Linked DNA regions of Styela clava. The protein of the gene in region 1 binds, or shares a complex with, the protein of each later gene. Links are inferred from orthologs where the notes say so. Each region holds a gene or a part of one and is shown on either strand. Other genes may lie near its edges.

Region 1 (8,117 bases):
TATGGCCGAGTACAGGTAGGCTAAATAGAAAGGCGATTCCGATAAGCCACCTTGGATAATGTTATGTGATCTTTAATGTTCGCTTTTGGCTGATACGTTGGCCATATTATTAATCCACGACTTACGCAAATTTAAAAGAAAAAGATAAATTAAGCACGGCATAGTGGACTGTGATCTATTAGCGTATCATATTTAATAATAAACAATTCAAGATTAGGCGAAAATAATGACGCAAATGATTGCTTTCTGTCACATCACATAAGAACAATATATTCTGTACGTTTTAAACCTTATCCAAGGTTTTGTTTACTCTCCTGATTTCCTAATCAGTTTTTATTTATTTGTTTTTATCAACCGTTTTATCGCCTTTCTGCTGATTATGGAGTTGAAATAAACTTATCTTATCTATCTAAGAAATGCATTGCGCGCTACGCAAAAGTAGGAAGTCTATCGCCAAAACGAGAGAGGCTTCAATTGGTCCCGCTAATACAGGGGTTCCCAACCTTTTTATCTCAATTTCCCACTTCCGATTTAGGCTGAGTTTTTATTTCCCACTACATATGGACTCACTTAAAAACAATAATTTTCCTGTCAATATTAATTGGTAGGACTTTCTATAACAGTGGTTCTTAAAGTATGGGTCGCGACCCAAACATGGGTCGCGGAAAGTTTAAAAGTGGCTCGCGACAAGGTCGTCAATGCAAGGGCAATCTAAGAGGAAAAGGACGAATTTTCAGCTTTCCCAATGTTTCAATTTAGCTTCTAAACTCTGGTATTTAAAAATAATGGAATATATAAAGTTTCATTCACGGAAAGAACTGTCTTGAGCTCATTGTTACATCACAATTCTGATATGCCAGTCACGTGTATTATTTTATGGCATCGGTAGCCATGCACGTCGCTTGTTGTTGTGTTGACCTCGCGAAATATCGTCTTAGTGGATTAAAATAACTAAAAACGGGTGTCTTTTTGGTAATGTAAATTGTAATAGACAACGCAATGAAAAAGCTCGCATCTCAACATTAAATTATTCAATATCTAGAGAAAATGTGACTTCATCTCGAGTCACCATTTACCACGAACGAAGCAGTGTGTGCACATTTGATGAGTAAAAAGTTGTATATTGCGAGAGATATCAAAAGCCAGCTAGGATGTCGTGTTTGTGACAGACTCTGCTACAATTCGCGACAAGGCACTTGTTCGAGCGAGGATTTTTGGCACTGACGGTTATTAAAACTAAGCTCGCAATCGCATCGATTCCCGTGACAACTTGCGTATTGCGCTCAGTAAAATAGAGCTGTGTATTGAATATATAATGAAAAGAAAATTTCAGTTTCATCAATCTCATTGAGTCAATGGACTGTTTCTAATAAATAGTTGTCTGTATTTGAGTCAAACTGTACTAACATTAAAAACACATTTTGCGTTATTTAGGATTGGGTCGCGAGTATTCGTGAAACTCAGATTTGGGTCGCGCTCAAAAAAGTTTAAGAACCACTGTTCTATAAGAAAGGCTTACAATTGGTGTAAAAGTTGAACCACCGTGAGAACATTCATTGCACCGTCCAGCATCCCAAGACAGTGACGATCCGTGTAAAGAAAATCAGCGTTATCCATCGAATAGAACAATTCAAGGGTTAAATTACAAAAATGCGGCGCAGACTTACTCGGCAGAATATCATCACAGACAAAGTTCCATCTATGTCTTTTCTCTTCGAATACTGGACCAATTGCTTTGAAATTTTCAGTGGTTAAAGGTAAAAATTTTCTCCAGAAGGCTATTACTTTTTTTTTCGCTATGACGTCATCAAAATTATGTGACTCTACGTGTCCATATATTTGAGCATAGCTCTCTTGTTTTTACATAAGCCATTACCTTTTTTTTTAAACAATTTAGCAGAATAGAGGGACGGTTAAATATTTGTTCATCAGAGCGCGTGCCTACCCAATATTTCGAGACATTTGAATAAAAACTTTCTCGTTTGCGGCTCTGCAACGAAATTCTTCTTGCGTAACATTTAACATTGGTGCTTGTTCGAGACATGTCTGTGAGGTTGTTATCGGCCGACCAACGATCAAAATGAGTTACGTAGCATGATCAAAAAATCATGGCCAACAACGTGATATTTTACTAAAGTTTCGATTAATTGAATGGGAATCATTTTCCGCTTCATGACATATATTGTGTTTTTCATTATGTAATATTCAATAATTGTGTTGTTGTGCGTACATTTTTAGAGGGGCATTCTATTCCCCACCTGCAACCTCCAAATTTCCCACTAGTGGGAAATTTCCCATCGGTTGGGAACCACTGCGCTAATATATCTCTATTGACATCGAAGATTTGCTTTTGGGAACTATTGGTGAATCTTCTGCGTGTTCAGCAGGTGACGTTGTCCGTGTACCGTGCCGACTGGGTGAGCCACAGTCGATAGCTTTCCCACTCATCGCGGACTGATGTCAGCTGAGCTAATGCACCACGACAAGTGTTTCACTCTTTGAGTTGGAATATCTTAGATGTAGAAAAAAACATGAACACATGGGCTGGGCACTGTAGCTGCGACGCCTGGCAAAGAAAGTGGAGCGATTCCACAATTCTCCGTCCTTGAACATGGTAGCCCACAGATATGTCAGTACAGACAGTATGTTAGTCGTTGGTACAGACTGTATGTTAGTCGTTGGTACAGACAGACTGTAGGTAGTACAGTAGTAAGTAAAATGATACTTGACTGATTCAAATCTGAATTTAAGATTTTATTTTATCATACGGCTTATTGAATTCGCATTGTATACCGGTAGTCTAATCCTGTAATTATCATAATTTTGCCTGTATCAGAGTATTGTACACTCGGTTTTTTTAGGCGTCACAGTGACGTAATAAAGTCCTTCAAACTATACGAACTGTTGATCCAGGGAAATCGAGCAAGGTATTTCTCTCGTTTTCTCGTCGCACAGAGATCGCTGCCGCCAGTGAGTTCTTTATCGTCGGCGCAGATGCCATTTAAGCGATCGTAGTTCTGTAGTTATACTTTGCCAACCTCTATGACGTAATTTTTGTATGGCGTAGTTAGGTTGGGGGATGTCAGGGTTGACATATGCAAAAATCGTTACCGGTATGCTACGCCCACTATAGAAGTACTTGATGAGGTACGAAACTACACGATACCCTAATGTTCTACCGTACCGGTAACGGTTTTGCAGGCATACCGGTACCGGTACAGATTTTCGAATAACGTTTATGATACTACGGTACAGCAAGTTTTTTAATCGTTTAAAAAAGGTTTTGGGGGGAATTCCACTCTGCAGAAATGATATTTTTTAATCGGTTTCCATGCACGTCTGAAACCCTGGCTGCCTGGAGCTGTTTTTTTGATCAATTTCTATCATGGATATATTTTATGTACTAATTTGTTACTTGGTGGGTCACCGAAAAAACACGATGGGTCAGTGGTTTGCCATCCCTATTATAGACTATCTACAGCAGGGTTGGACCAGGGGCCAAAAATTTTGCCACCTTGACTGACGGGCCATGATGTTGATAATAAATGAAGCACAACCGGTGTTAGCAAAACGATGTAATTTGCCAGTAGGTAGGTAGTATAGTAGTAAGTAAAATGATACCGGTACTCGACTGATTCAAATCTGAATTTAAGATCGATTTGCTGACACCGGTTGTGCTTCATTTATTATCAACATGAGTTTACCTGGTGGCAATCATGCACTATTTGGGCCATGTAGATGTTAGTGTGATGTAAAAAGTTACATTTTACAAATAATATTTACAGTGTTACAAAACTAAATGCGCAAAACAATGAGCCACGGCCAAAATTAAATTTAATCGCAATCGCAACAAATTTCTTGAGGAATTTTTCAGCTAAACATCAAAATTTGATTTTAGTTGGGTTGTGGCAGTCTCAGAGGCGCAGTTCTTACCACTTTATAGCCGGTCCTGCCACGAACGAACCGCAGCATCTCTTGCCATAGTTTATGGTGCTATTACCGGTATATTCACAAAGTCATGTACCAGATTTTAGTTTATCATGCGAATTATATCTACTGAAACCTAACCCCAAATCCATCAAAACTGTATCCACAAGGAAAAGGTTACAACTTACAGACTTACCCAAAATTTTCCACAATCAGACAATACAGCAATAGGGGCAGCCCTGTCATTACAGCCAACATGCCTTGGTTTGTGGCAGCAAAATTTTACCCGCCATTGGTTTTCAATTTGTTGCCGTGGTGCCTGCCTCACGCCATAGTGGCAGTGGCATCTAAAAAGTCTGCCACCGTGCTTCGACCATAGCGGCCATAGTTTGGAAATCCTTGCATGGTTTTGCGGCAGCTTCAGACACCACAAAATACATAGATTGAACTACTCATCGGACCGTATTTGACCCGCGGGCCATAGTTTGCCCATGTCAGACCTATAGTGTGAAAAGTGGGGTTAAGTCTAGTTTAGTACCACAAGTAGCCTACTTCCGGTGGGCGTAGCATAACAAATTTTGTATATGTTATTCCTAACCACCACCTGACTATGTCATTCAAAAATTATGTCACAGACACGTCATAGAGCTTGCCAAAATGCCAAGTATAGCTAGCATAGTCAAAAATGGCATCTGCGCCACCGAACACACTAATGCCAGAGGTCTCTCTCATATCAGGGTTGTTGCGACAAAAAAACGAGAGAAATAGCTTGCTCGATTTCGAGTGAACGTCTGCGCGTTTTGGACGACCATCCATACACTTTGGAGGTATTTATTATGCCACTGTGGCGTCGTAGTGACATAATTTTTGGGTGACATAGTCAGGTGGTGGTCAGGAATGACATATGCAAAAATTTTTGAGCCAGGCCAACTAGAAGTGCATGTGGTACTAAACTATACCAGACCTAAAAAATGTTGGGTTAGCATCGCCAACCAACCTAATATAATTGATACTTGTCATTTAAGTTGCAGTTAAAGTTTTGACGGTGACCCAATCAAACATCTATCCTGTTTCATAAGCAGATGGTTTTATAGACTATATAATTGCATACCCCTATATTCCTATATATACAACAATTCAAAACAATTATGTATACAATCGCTTACTGATAAAAAAATAACTTTATTTTCAAGGTTTAATAAAATATGTCTAATCTACTGTATTGTACTGAATTGTCCGGTAATCTGGTGATCAATACACAGATGTAAAATTGGGCTGCAATAAATGATGAATTTACTAAGCTTGAAAAAATTTTGGAATGAAACTCATTGATAATACTGAATTTAATGTATTGTATAAATACAAGTATTTCTTTGACTTTCATTATTCTGAACTAAATTCGTCATAATTGAAATACTGAATGATGAATGCTGTTACCATTCAACCGAAGAAAACTTCAGGAAAAGGATACAATACGCTTGTGAATGGTGATTGTTCGAGTGATTCTGAAAACGAACAAACAGAAAAGGTAGAGTCAAAAGAGATATTTGAAAATTTGGAAAAAACTGTGCAATGTGTCGATCAAGTCAATAATGGAGATATTGATTACTATAATGATGGTTTAACACCAATGGATACGAGCTCTTGTACTAATTCAAATAGTTCAGAACTTCAAGATGTCTCAAATCAAATCAGCATCAGTTTTGTAAATGACAAGGAAATATGTGAAAAAGCAATGAATGCAGCATTGGCTAATGCAGAAATTGTTAAAAATGCAAGGACTATGCTACCAACCACTTTAGTGGAACGCCAACAGGTCACTGCACTCAACAAGACACAATGTACAAATGCTCCTGGCAGAGCCTTGCGTAAACTGGACCCTCGTAAACTCAATTTAAATCTTGATCTTTTTAATTCAAAAACTCGAAAAAAAGAGAAAGCTAATTCATTGAGTGATAGCCTACCATCCAATCCTATGTCTCTACCTTCTTTGATAGAAACAGATGCAACCTCAAAATCTTGCCAAACAAAATCAGAATTAAAAAATTCTGAATCAAAGCCAAAAAAGGGTAAATCTTCGGAAAATGGTGTCGTCAATTTTACACCAAACAAAGTTCAGGTTCGCCAGCCTGATTCAACATCTAAACAATCATGGTTGCTTCGCCTCTTTGAATCACAGGTATGTACTGCTATTCTAGTGTTGTCATCATTAATGCTAATTACCTCCATCAACTAAACTACTTAATGTGAAATTATTATCTGCCAACCTGGGTTTGATCATACAACAATAGTTTTCTAGATACCATCTTCTTATTGTTTCACAACTAATTTTTGACCTATTTTCTCTTGCTTCTTTCCATCTCATGTTAGGTGAGAATAACTTGAAGAGAGCCTAACTTGATGTTAATTGAACCATTCAGGCATGATTTATTTTGTAGTATAATGTTGAATCCAAAGTTGGAGTGTCAAACCTTATAAAAGTTTTATAGATACAAAAAAAGGATCACGATTGAATTATGCTTTCCCCTAAACTTTAAAAACATCTTTTTGGGACATTATTTTATTACTCAGTACACCAATTTAGTGACAATGTAATCTATTCTGATTTGTTTTATTTGTGAAATATGTTGTCATTGAAAATTATATATATATATTGCAGCTGGAGCCAAGATTACCATAATAGATAGAGCTGGAGCCAGGGCTAACAGAAATTTTAGTGGCTCCAGCTCTTAAACATCCAATTATTTTTTCACATTCGAAAGTTTCAAGTCAAATTTGTGTAATTAAAGTTCAATTTTAAAATTTGAAATCCTAATAGTACGGTGTATCTTTAAATCACGCTCCCACATTGATAGTGGTTGTGTGGAAAAACTCACTGGCTGTTGATCCGAAGTTGGGGGCCAGCGTAATGTAAAATGAAGTTCTGCAGCATGAGCTGGAGCCACAGTTCTAATCTATTTTGGCTCCAGAGCCAATGTGATTTCCGTCCAGAAGTCCAGCTCTGCCCAATACCCACTGACACCAGCAAGCCTCAGTGTTTTTGGATGTGTTATATCTCTGGCTTGACTTCTATATATTAATTAAAACTGCAGGTTTTCGACATGTCGATTGCTCTTCAGTATTTGTTCAAGTCCAAGGAACCTGGTGTACTTGCTTACCTGGGGAATAAGCTCTTCACATTTCCTGAAGAGAAAGTTGATCTTTTCTTGCCCGAACTTTTAGTCATGTATATTCATATGGATCATGATATGAGAGAAGCAATACATCCATACATTGTTGCAAGGTAACTAATGAGGAGATGAATTATTGCCCTACCATCGGGCAAAGTTATCTTAAGTGAAATTGGAAGCTCTGACTCAAAGTGTCTTTCGAACCGCGGAACTCTTTTATATCATTAATTTTTCGCAGAACACCAAATGAAAATTTTTGATTTTGTGAAAACCATCTGAATAACCAATATTCTCGATTAGTTTTAGCATAGGAATGAAATTACAACAAGACCAATAGAGTCGTGAAAGACGTAACAAATTCGAACTGTTTAAATTTTCAAAATCAATATTTTGTAGGCCTACTTAATTATATAAACAGCCCTTAAAAATACTGAACCTAATCCAGTAATATATCCTAACTTTTTCGTAATTGTTTTTTTTATTACGGTACTTCAATTGAAACAAAGTTCCAACGCGAGACCTAGCTTTAGGTAATTTTTTATAATATAAGACAAAATGGCCGCTTGATTCAAACCTAAATTCTGAAAACATGGTAGTAGAATTTGACCAATGATGCCTGACATTACAGAAACGAGTCAATGTTCAGGACCATTCTTGAAAATGGTGTTCAGGCGACTGATTAAATTTTCACTTTCGTTAACATTTTGCTGTTTAGCCATTGTTTCGTAAATAAACTAGGAAGTCCGTTCCTGGGGAAACGTTAATTACACGTGACAGAATCTTTTTAAAAACTAAATTTACCTGCTTGACGGATTTGGATTTCTTTTTGTTATCATAAAATATACCAAAATATATGAAAAAAAATTGGGGGGACGACAATTTGACACGGAATACCTGAAGGTCTCTCACAGAATACCAGTGTTCCGCGGAACAGGTTGATAATCACTCATGTATGTTATATACTGTATATTTAGTCATGGTGCTCTTTGTATGGTAATTTAGTATGAAGGGATGTTTGTT
Region 2 (7,423 bases), about 14 Mb from region 1:
CATACCCGACTTGGAATGGTAACCGGACGAGAGGCCGTGGTTCGCCATATGGATAAGTCGTCTTATCGGCTTTCCTTTCCCCCGGGATAAATATGTAAAGTCTTATCCTTATTCTCATTATCCTAATAAATACATAAATAACCGCACCCCACTGGGCGATTGGTTCATATTCTGTACTGTAGCTACGTTTTCTGTCTAATAGATATGCATTCCCAATAAGAATATGCTCATAGTTGTATGCTTTCAGCGTACCATACTTCGAAACCCAAAACCAAATATGTATTGAAGAATTAAAGACCTCAATACGGCCAATTTCGCACCCGACTCAGCTGAAGCAAGGGATTTTGGCAGCGAGCAATGCGTTTTCTTAATATGCAACGAACCATTTAGCCGGACGACGTAAAAAATGCAGGGAACAATACCAAAATGAGCAAATCTTTGCAAGTTTCCACTCATTGTATATATGCTCATTGAATTGAGTTATCTCTTTTCTTTTTTGAATGTTAGTTCGTAATCCCTAATCTTCGCCTTGGGTCAAAGACCAACCACAAGCTCGGCGAATTTGCTGTAGCTAATTCAGAGTACGTGTCTTGAAAACTTGTGCGGGATCTCTGGGTTTGCTTGTTTTAGACTTTGAGGAATCAGAATTATATATACAGTATTAATTCCACAAAGATGACGTATATTGGCTGATGAAACAGCCTTATTATATTGTTAGACGCTTATCTCGTTGTCCTACGAGTCCGTAGCCGGGCGGACCTTCAAGAGTTACGGTACCGGTGCCAAGGCAGGACCGTCAACCTGGACTGGTGTTTCGGTGGCGGTACGACACCAGTATAGGTTCAGGCGGTAGGCTTAGGTAAAACACCAAGCCACGGGCATATAGGATAGGATTTTCATAATTATCCTGGTGGAGAGTGAAGTCGATTAGACTGATTAATCATATGGCATGTATGGGGAAACACAGCCTAACCGTAAACGCAGGTAACTTCGGATGGTTTGTAACTTAGGATGAAATTTTCAGTCGTTTATATCTTGACTAAATTACGTCATATTTTGCTTCTGGCAGTTTCTATAGAGAGTCCTTATATATCTAAATCTGTTATCATTTTCAATCGCCTAATCTTATTTATTTTTTGACACAAAAAATCACATTTTAGCCAAAAATTGACACCTTGCAGCCTTGTTTTTGAGCGGCTAACATAGCGACTTCTGCCGACGCTAACTTCACTAAAAGACCGTCAATCGCTAGAGGGCATACACAATGTACAAGGAAAATTACAGTGATCACGAGATGTCGCGTGCGATTCAAGTAAAATATATTATTTTGATTTGAAAATTTCGTCAAAATATCGACGTTACGATGCTTACACTGAACGTGACGTCAACAACGTGATTCAATTTCGCTCCATCTAACGCCGACGTCACATTGCGTAGCTCGTGCGTAACTCGCTGCGACATTTGAACGCCAGACTATGTGGCGCCACGTGTAGTTAAATATAAAGTGAAAGCTCCTACCTGATCCTAGTCCTGTAGTCACCAAATCCTACAAAAACTTCATTATAGCCCCAGTCATCTGCTGTTTATTCATTGTGAATCCGTTTAAAGCACATCAAATTTGTGCGTCAATATTTTTGCATTCATTCTCCGAACGTATAGATGTTGTTGATACGTAAGGCTAATGAACAGCCAGTTACGCGTTTCTATACTATCACAATGATAAAGTATGTATGTTTACGATGATAATATCTTAAGCGTAGAATGTTGCACAGGTGAGCATGAAACTCAGGTGCACTCAGTAGCAGGTTGGACCACATACGAGTAAGTCGCTAAATGAAGAAAAGAGTATCAAAGTTTCTATTTGGCGTTTTATCCGTTTCATGTCATTTGACTTTGTCTATCTGCCTGTGAATACATTATATCTGAATTATGAACACGAGCCACAAGCTCCACCGTTCCGTATTGTTTTCCATTTCCACTGCCATTTTTTACTACCTATCGTAATTCATCATTCGTTTTTTTATTATTTTCATTCGTTTCATTTTTGTTTCGTATTAAAAATTGTTTTCCACTTCCATTTTTACGACTTAGTTTATGCGTCCGTTTTTTTATTTTCATTTGTCCCATGTTGTCTAATTTTTGTTTTGTATTAAAATGATCATATTAGCAAAATCTAGCACTTTCATGAAATTAAGAATAGTCAGAAGTAAATGGTTTAGTTTTGCGAAATGTCAGAAATAGCGATGGGCAAAATAATCATAAATTATTACATGCGTTGTATTTTGAAGCATTTTAGCGGTAATAATTATGGCGTGACACTGTCAAAATCGGCGGGTAAAGTGCTGAGTTCGCAAATTCCGTAGATAAAATTGTGAGTTAGTCGGTAACGATTTTAGCTATAATAACCGTCGGGTTATTGTTTTGTCCAAAAAAAATACGTTAAAACCTGAGGGAAATAGTTATATATATTTAGCGTCCGACCCGCTATTAGGACCAAAAGCCTTATGACAAGTATAAATGCATAACGACCGATTTATTCAATTATTATAATAAATAAAAATTCAGGATTCGTGCAATCGCAGGTGCAAAGCATAAGAACGTCAATCATCGTCTTAATAAACATCTCCATCCCGGTGTCGATAATAATATCATCGTTCTCTTTAAACTCGAACGATTAATAATATACAAACAGTGATAAGATCAAAGCCAACACATACGATAAAAATCAGAATAAAATTAATTTGGGTTTTGAAATCAGTCCTTCTTGTCTTCAAGAGCTGTTGCCGATGTAAACGCACGGGTATACCAGATCAATGACATTAAGCATGCTGCTAATGTCATTGACCAGATATATAAAACTTCAATACCCGCCGACCCGAAAGAATTAACAATCGGGAAAAAATAAAACGGCCGTCATAGATGAACGTCAGTGTGCGACACGCAAAACGGATCACGGCATCGTAAGTTCTACGCAGCGACGTTATCACGCGTCACTGATCACGCAGACATTTCTCTCTCACGACGAAGTGACGCAAAGCGAAAAGTGGGCATCCGAAGTTAGAAACATTGGGAATACAGATCTGCAGACAAATAAAGTCAATAATTTGATTGAAAAAAGGTATTGACTGATATGAAACCGAGTTTATCGTGAAGAGAAAGGCTTCATTGTATTATATTCCAATTTTGGCTTCAATTGAACAATAAACGGCGGAGAAATTGTTCATAATATAGTGAAATCATCCGAAGTTACCTGCTTTTACGGTATGCTACCATAAAACCGTTGGCTTAGCTTTTTGACTGTTCAAGTCAGTAAGTTCAATATCAAGTTTACAGCAATCCTTTTGGCTGTTTGGGTATGTCAGTTTCATTTTGTTAAGGATATTAATATAAAATTCGACTGCTATCCAAGTACCCCTGGTCCAGGTTGAGAACCCCTGGTCTAAAGAATAAAGGCAAAAGGTCAAATCTTCTTCTTCTATCTCTGCCTGGTTTTACTTCGAAAGGCTGAAAAAATTACAGAGCTGCTGGTCTGCAGCTCATGAAATTGCGACAAGTACTTCTATCTCCAATAGACGTAACATTAAAGGCAAACACTGAGTAATGGAAAGTAAACGACATAGAATGGTAGAATTAATGAATTGAATTGATGGATATACACAGCCTTTAAATTGAGAAACAATAAAGCATTTATAATAAATGCAATATGTAAAATATTCAATCATACTACAGTACTTTAGGTATGTTTACCACAATTCTGTTAGTTTTCGCGGCGCATTTGGCAACTCGCCACGATTGGGAACCGCTACATTACACAATTTTTCTATATCAATTTTACAGTTCATTTTTTGGTGTTTTGTGAGGCGAGATAAAAAGTGTACGTGTTCCGTGGCCGAAAAATATTGAGAAACGCTTGTGTAGAAAACCGTAATCAACCAGCAGTTACATGAAGATTATGGCAATCCTGCAATCCTCTCACACATATTTTCTGTCAATATATCCATCTCACAGTCTCAGGATTCCTAAACACAGCTCAATGCACCTACTGTCGAGCCTTTAGTGGTAGACTACAAGGTAGCGGCCATGTTCACAACTCGCTGCTGCATTCTGTGTCAATCATCGTTAGTCCATACATTATCAACAGGTGAGACAACCTGTGGTACTGTAGTATTTCCTGTTGGCCCTTCTCATAATTGCACGTTTCGTTCGGATTACCTGGTACCCATCATATTATTTTAAAATGGAGCGGCGATTGGTGAACTTGCGCCCATGGTAGTACCGATTTTTGATCTGCAAACCATACTGCAATATATTTCTTCTTTAGCATAATAATCACTCAATAAATTCTTCGATCAAATTTAGAACTAAGCCATGGCAGAGGCGATGCCTGCTGCAGTCGCTGTAAATAATATTGCACAACAAATGAATAATGTGTCGCTCACGGAGGGTCATACAGAGGTCAAAGGTGAAGTTGCGGACCAAGTTACACCACCAACAGGAAATACTACAGCAAGTTATGCATCAACGGATACACAAGATGAAGAATCATACTGGGGGTTTTCGTTACACGAAGCATATAAAAAGGCAATCAAATTTTATAAAGGTGATATTTCATAATTTTGTTAGACTTCTAGTTTTTTTTATTTATTTTTTCAGCATTCGCTCAAAGCAAGATTAAATGAACTCATTCTGAAGTAAAATATGGGCACTCACTCAGAAGTAAAGCAGACTCATCTCTAAGCAAAGTTACGCTCACTCACTCAAAAGTAAAGGAGACTCATCTCTGAGCAAAGTTACAGGCACTCACTCAGATTTGATGAAAATCATCTCTGAGCAAAGCTACGAGCACTCATGGCAGCGTTATATTTCCAAATTATTCGAGCCAAATTATGAGTTTTCTGATTCTAAAGACGGCTATTTTTTAATATAGAAAAACTGCAATATCGCAAATTATATTAATTTTCCCAGAAAACGAAGGCAAACGAACGTTTGACATGAGCTACGAAGACAAAGTATATCTCGCCGCATTAACTAAGCAAGCAACACTCGGACCTTTCGCACAACAAACACAACTGCCTGAAGTCGGATATTTAGATATGTTTGGAAATGATCGAAGGTTGGTTTTACACTAGATTTTTTAATTACCGTATATCCTCATTCCTCGCATATAAGCCGACCCGACAAATCGTGACTTGCCGAACGGGTTGTAGCTGATGGAATTAAGTTAGCATAATGCCATCTTGTTTGAGTGCGATCAGAGATATGCGCAATAAGTCAAATTTCTTCATATATTATTCTAATATTAACATTTGTATTGAATTGCTATAAATATACTTGGCTCAGCTCTAACTTAGGGCAGACAAAAATTTCTGTTAGTGTCCACGCTCGTTTTGTAAATATAACACGGTTTCACGAATTAGGTGCATTCCGGTTGTTATGATTTTTCAAGATCGTCACTGAGTAAAAGGCAATAAAATCGTGAAAACAGCTATGAAGCCGGGGATTCCACATAACTGAAGTCTTTGGAAAAACTTTTGCCATAAAAATTCTACATCTAAGCTGCGCTGCAATACAATCTCCGGGGCTCCCGAAGTATGCGAACCAAGATGGCGGACATCGGAATATAATATGTGTACTAGGTTAGGGTTAGGTCATAATTTTAGGTATAAATACTACGGGAGGCTCTTGGCTAGTCTTCGAACTGATAATAGGACTAAAATAAGGAAAACTGGAAAGAAATTATCGCCTAACCCTAACCTGTTACCCATGTTACGTTCCGATGTCCGCCATCTTGGTTCGCATACTTCGGGAGCACCCAATCTCCTTTTCGGAGATTCCTGTGTTTACTTGAAAATAATTATTTAAATTCTACTTTTCAGGAGAGTTTGGGAATCCTTGGAAGACATTTCCTCAAACGATGCTCGTAGGAATTTTATAAAACATCTTCAAGATTTAGCGCCGGTTTTTGTTCCTTTTATGACAGCCCATCAAAAACAAAAGGAGGAAGAAGAGAGAAAACGGTAAAGTTCATTTTTCACAACATTTTATTTTTCACGAATATTCTCGCATATATATCCAACCTTATTAAAACGCTTTTAAAACGGTGAATTTATGAAGATCAGCCCTGTCCCCTTTTCATAGACTCTCAAACTCATGGCCCCATTCTTATATAATCAATATTGGTACTCATGTAATATGTGAACCAAGATGGTGGATACCGGAACGTAGTATGTGTACCAGGTTAGGGTTAGGCCATAATTTCAGGTACAAATACTACGGGAAGTCACTTGGCTAGTCCCGGAACGGGGCTCCCGAAGTATGCGAACCAAGATGGCGGACATCGGAATGTAATATGTGTACTAGGTTTTGGGTTAGGCCATAATTTTAGCTATAAATACTACGGGAGGCTCTTGGCTAGTCTTCGAACTGATAATAGGACTAAAATAAGGAAAATTGGAAAAAAATTATCGCCTAACCCTAACCTGTTACCCATGTTACGTTCCGATGTCCGCCATCTTGGTTCGCATACTTCGGGAGTACCCCCCGAACTCATAATAGAACTAAGATAAGGAAAATTAGGATAAAATTATGTCCTAACTTGTAACCTGGTACACATACTTACGAGACGGAAAAAACAAATCATTGCACTAACCATTTCAAAGATTGCAACTTGCATGAATACTTGCCTCCTAGTTTCAGCGCTTCTGGAATATTTCACAAATTATTTGAAATTATATAATGGGAGTAGGACATTGTTTTAATCGAATATCTCCATCTCAAAATGAGAGCACAAAATTATCATTTTCTGGAAAATTCAATGCATAAATTTTCTCCTAAAGGAGCCTCTTAATGGAGGCCAGGGTTGAATTTTGTCCAGCTTCGAAAAAAAAGCATTTTCCACGGCTGGAGCTAACAGAGGGATGCGTTTTCTTTGCTGGAATTTGGGTCATGTGTTTTGTTTAGTGACATGTCCAGTATACAGCGTTATGATTGGCTTCTTTTGTAAGTCCACATGTGTGTGAGGCATCCATGTTTAGGCCAGCACACCATAAATTGATAGTCATATAAAAACTGGTAAGTTCTTGATTCTGTTTTCTTTTCTGAAAAGTTACAAACAACCATTGAAATGCCAAGGTCAACTGAAACTATAATTTTTCCCGCCTCCCATGTTTGCTCAGCCTTTTTTACAATTAATTTGTTTTTTAGGCTCGAAGAAGAGAGAATTCGTCAAGAAGAGGAGGAAAGCAAAAGGAGAGAATTAGAAGAAGCTCAAAAGAAAGAAGAGCAAATGAGAGAAGCAGAGAGAGTTCGACAGGAACAGGAGAGAATACAAATTGAGCAGAAGTATGGGAATCTTTTCACAATTAAATTTGTTTCTTAAAAGTATGGGTGTTAGGTTTTATTAGCTTTTGAATTGTAAATTATG

Evidence for each region. The genes of interacting proteins can lie anywhere in the genome.
Region 2: the proteins of phosphatidylinositol 4-kinase beta-like (region 1) and Golgi resident protein GCP60-like are in contact, whole or in part, in an NMR structure (PDB 2N73), measured with the Homo sapiens proteins. The link is inferred for Styela clava from reciprocal best matches to the Homo sapiens genes PI4KB and ACBD3. Residues at the interface, in NP_001317650.1 of Homo sapiens: Val37, Gly38, Val42, Ile43, Asp44, Pro45, Val47, Ala48, Gln49, Lys50, Ala51, Cys52, Glu54, Val55, Leu56, Val59, Lys60, His63; in NP_073572.2 of Homo sapiens: Gln245, Ile246, Ala249, Leu250, Gln253, Thr254, Gln257, Phe258, Tyr261, Gln265, Tyr266, Leu276, Leu280, Gln283, His284, Gln287, Tyr288, Gln291, Leu292, Val295.

The regions. Positions count from the first base shown.
Region 1 is NC_135250.1:14,274,388-14,282,504, reverse strand, and holds the start of phosphatidylinositol 4-kinase beta-like, read left to right. Parts: upstream 1-5,102; 5' UTR 5,103-5,347; coding exon 5,348-6,106; intron 6,107-7,019; coding exon 7,020-7,210; intron 7,211-8,117. UniProt on the Homo sapiens protein: Phosphorylates phosphatidylinositol (PI) in the first committed step in the production of the second messenger inositol-1,4,5,-trisphosphate (PIP). May regulate Golgi disintegration/reorganization during mitosis, possibly via its phosphorylation.
Region 2 is NC_135250.1:774,246-781,668, forward strand, and holds the start of Golgi resident protein GCP60-like, read left to right. Parts: upstream 1-4,314; 5' UTR 4,315-4,368; coding exon 4,369-4,600; intron 4,601-4,965; coding exon 4,966-5,113; intron 5,114-5,876; coding exon 5,877-6,017; intron 6,018-7,203; coding exon 7,204-7,341; intron 7,342-7,423. UniProt on the Homo sapiens protein: Involved in the maintenance of Golgi structure by interacting with giantin, affecting protein transport between the endoplasmic reticulum and Golgi. Involved in hormone-induced steroid biosynthesis in testicular Leydig cells.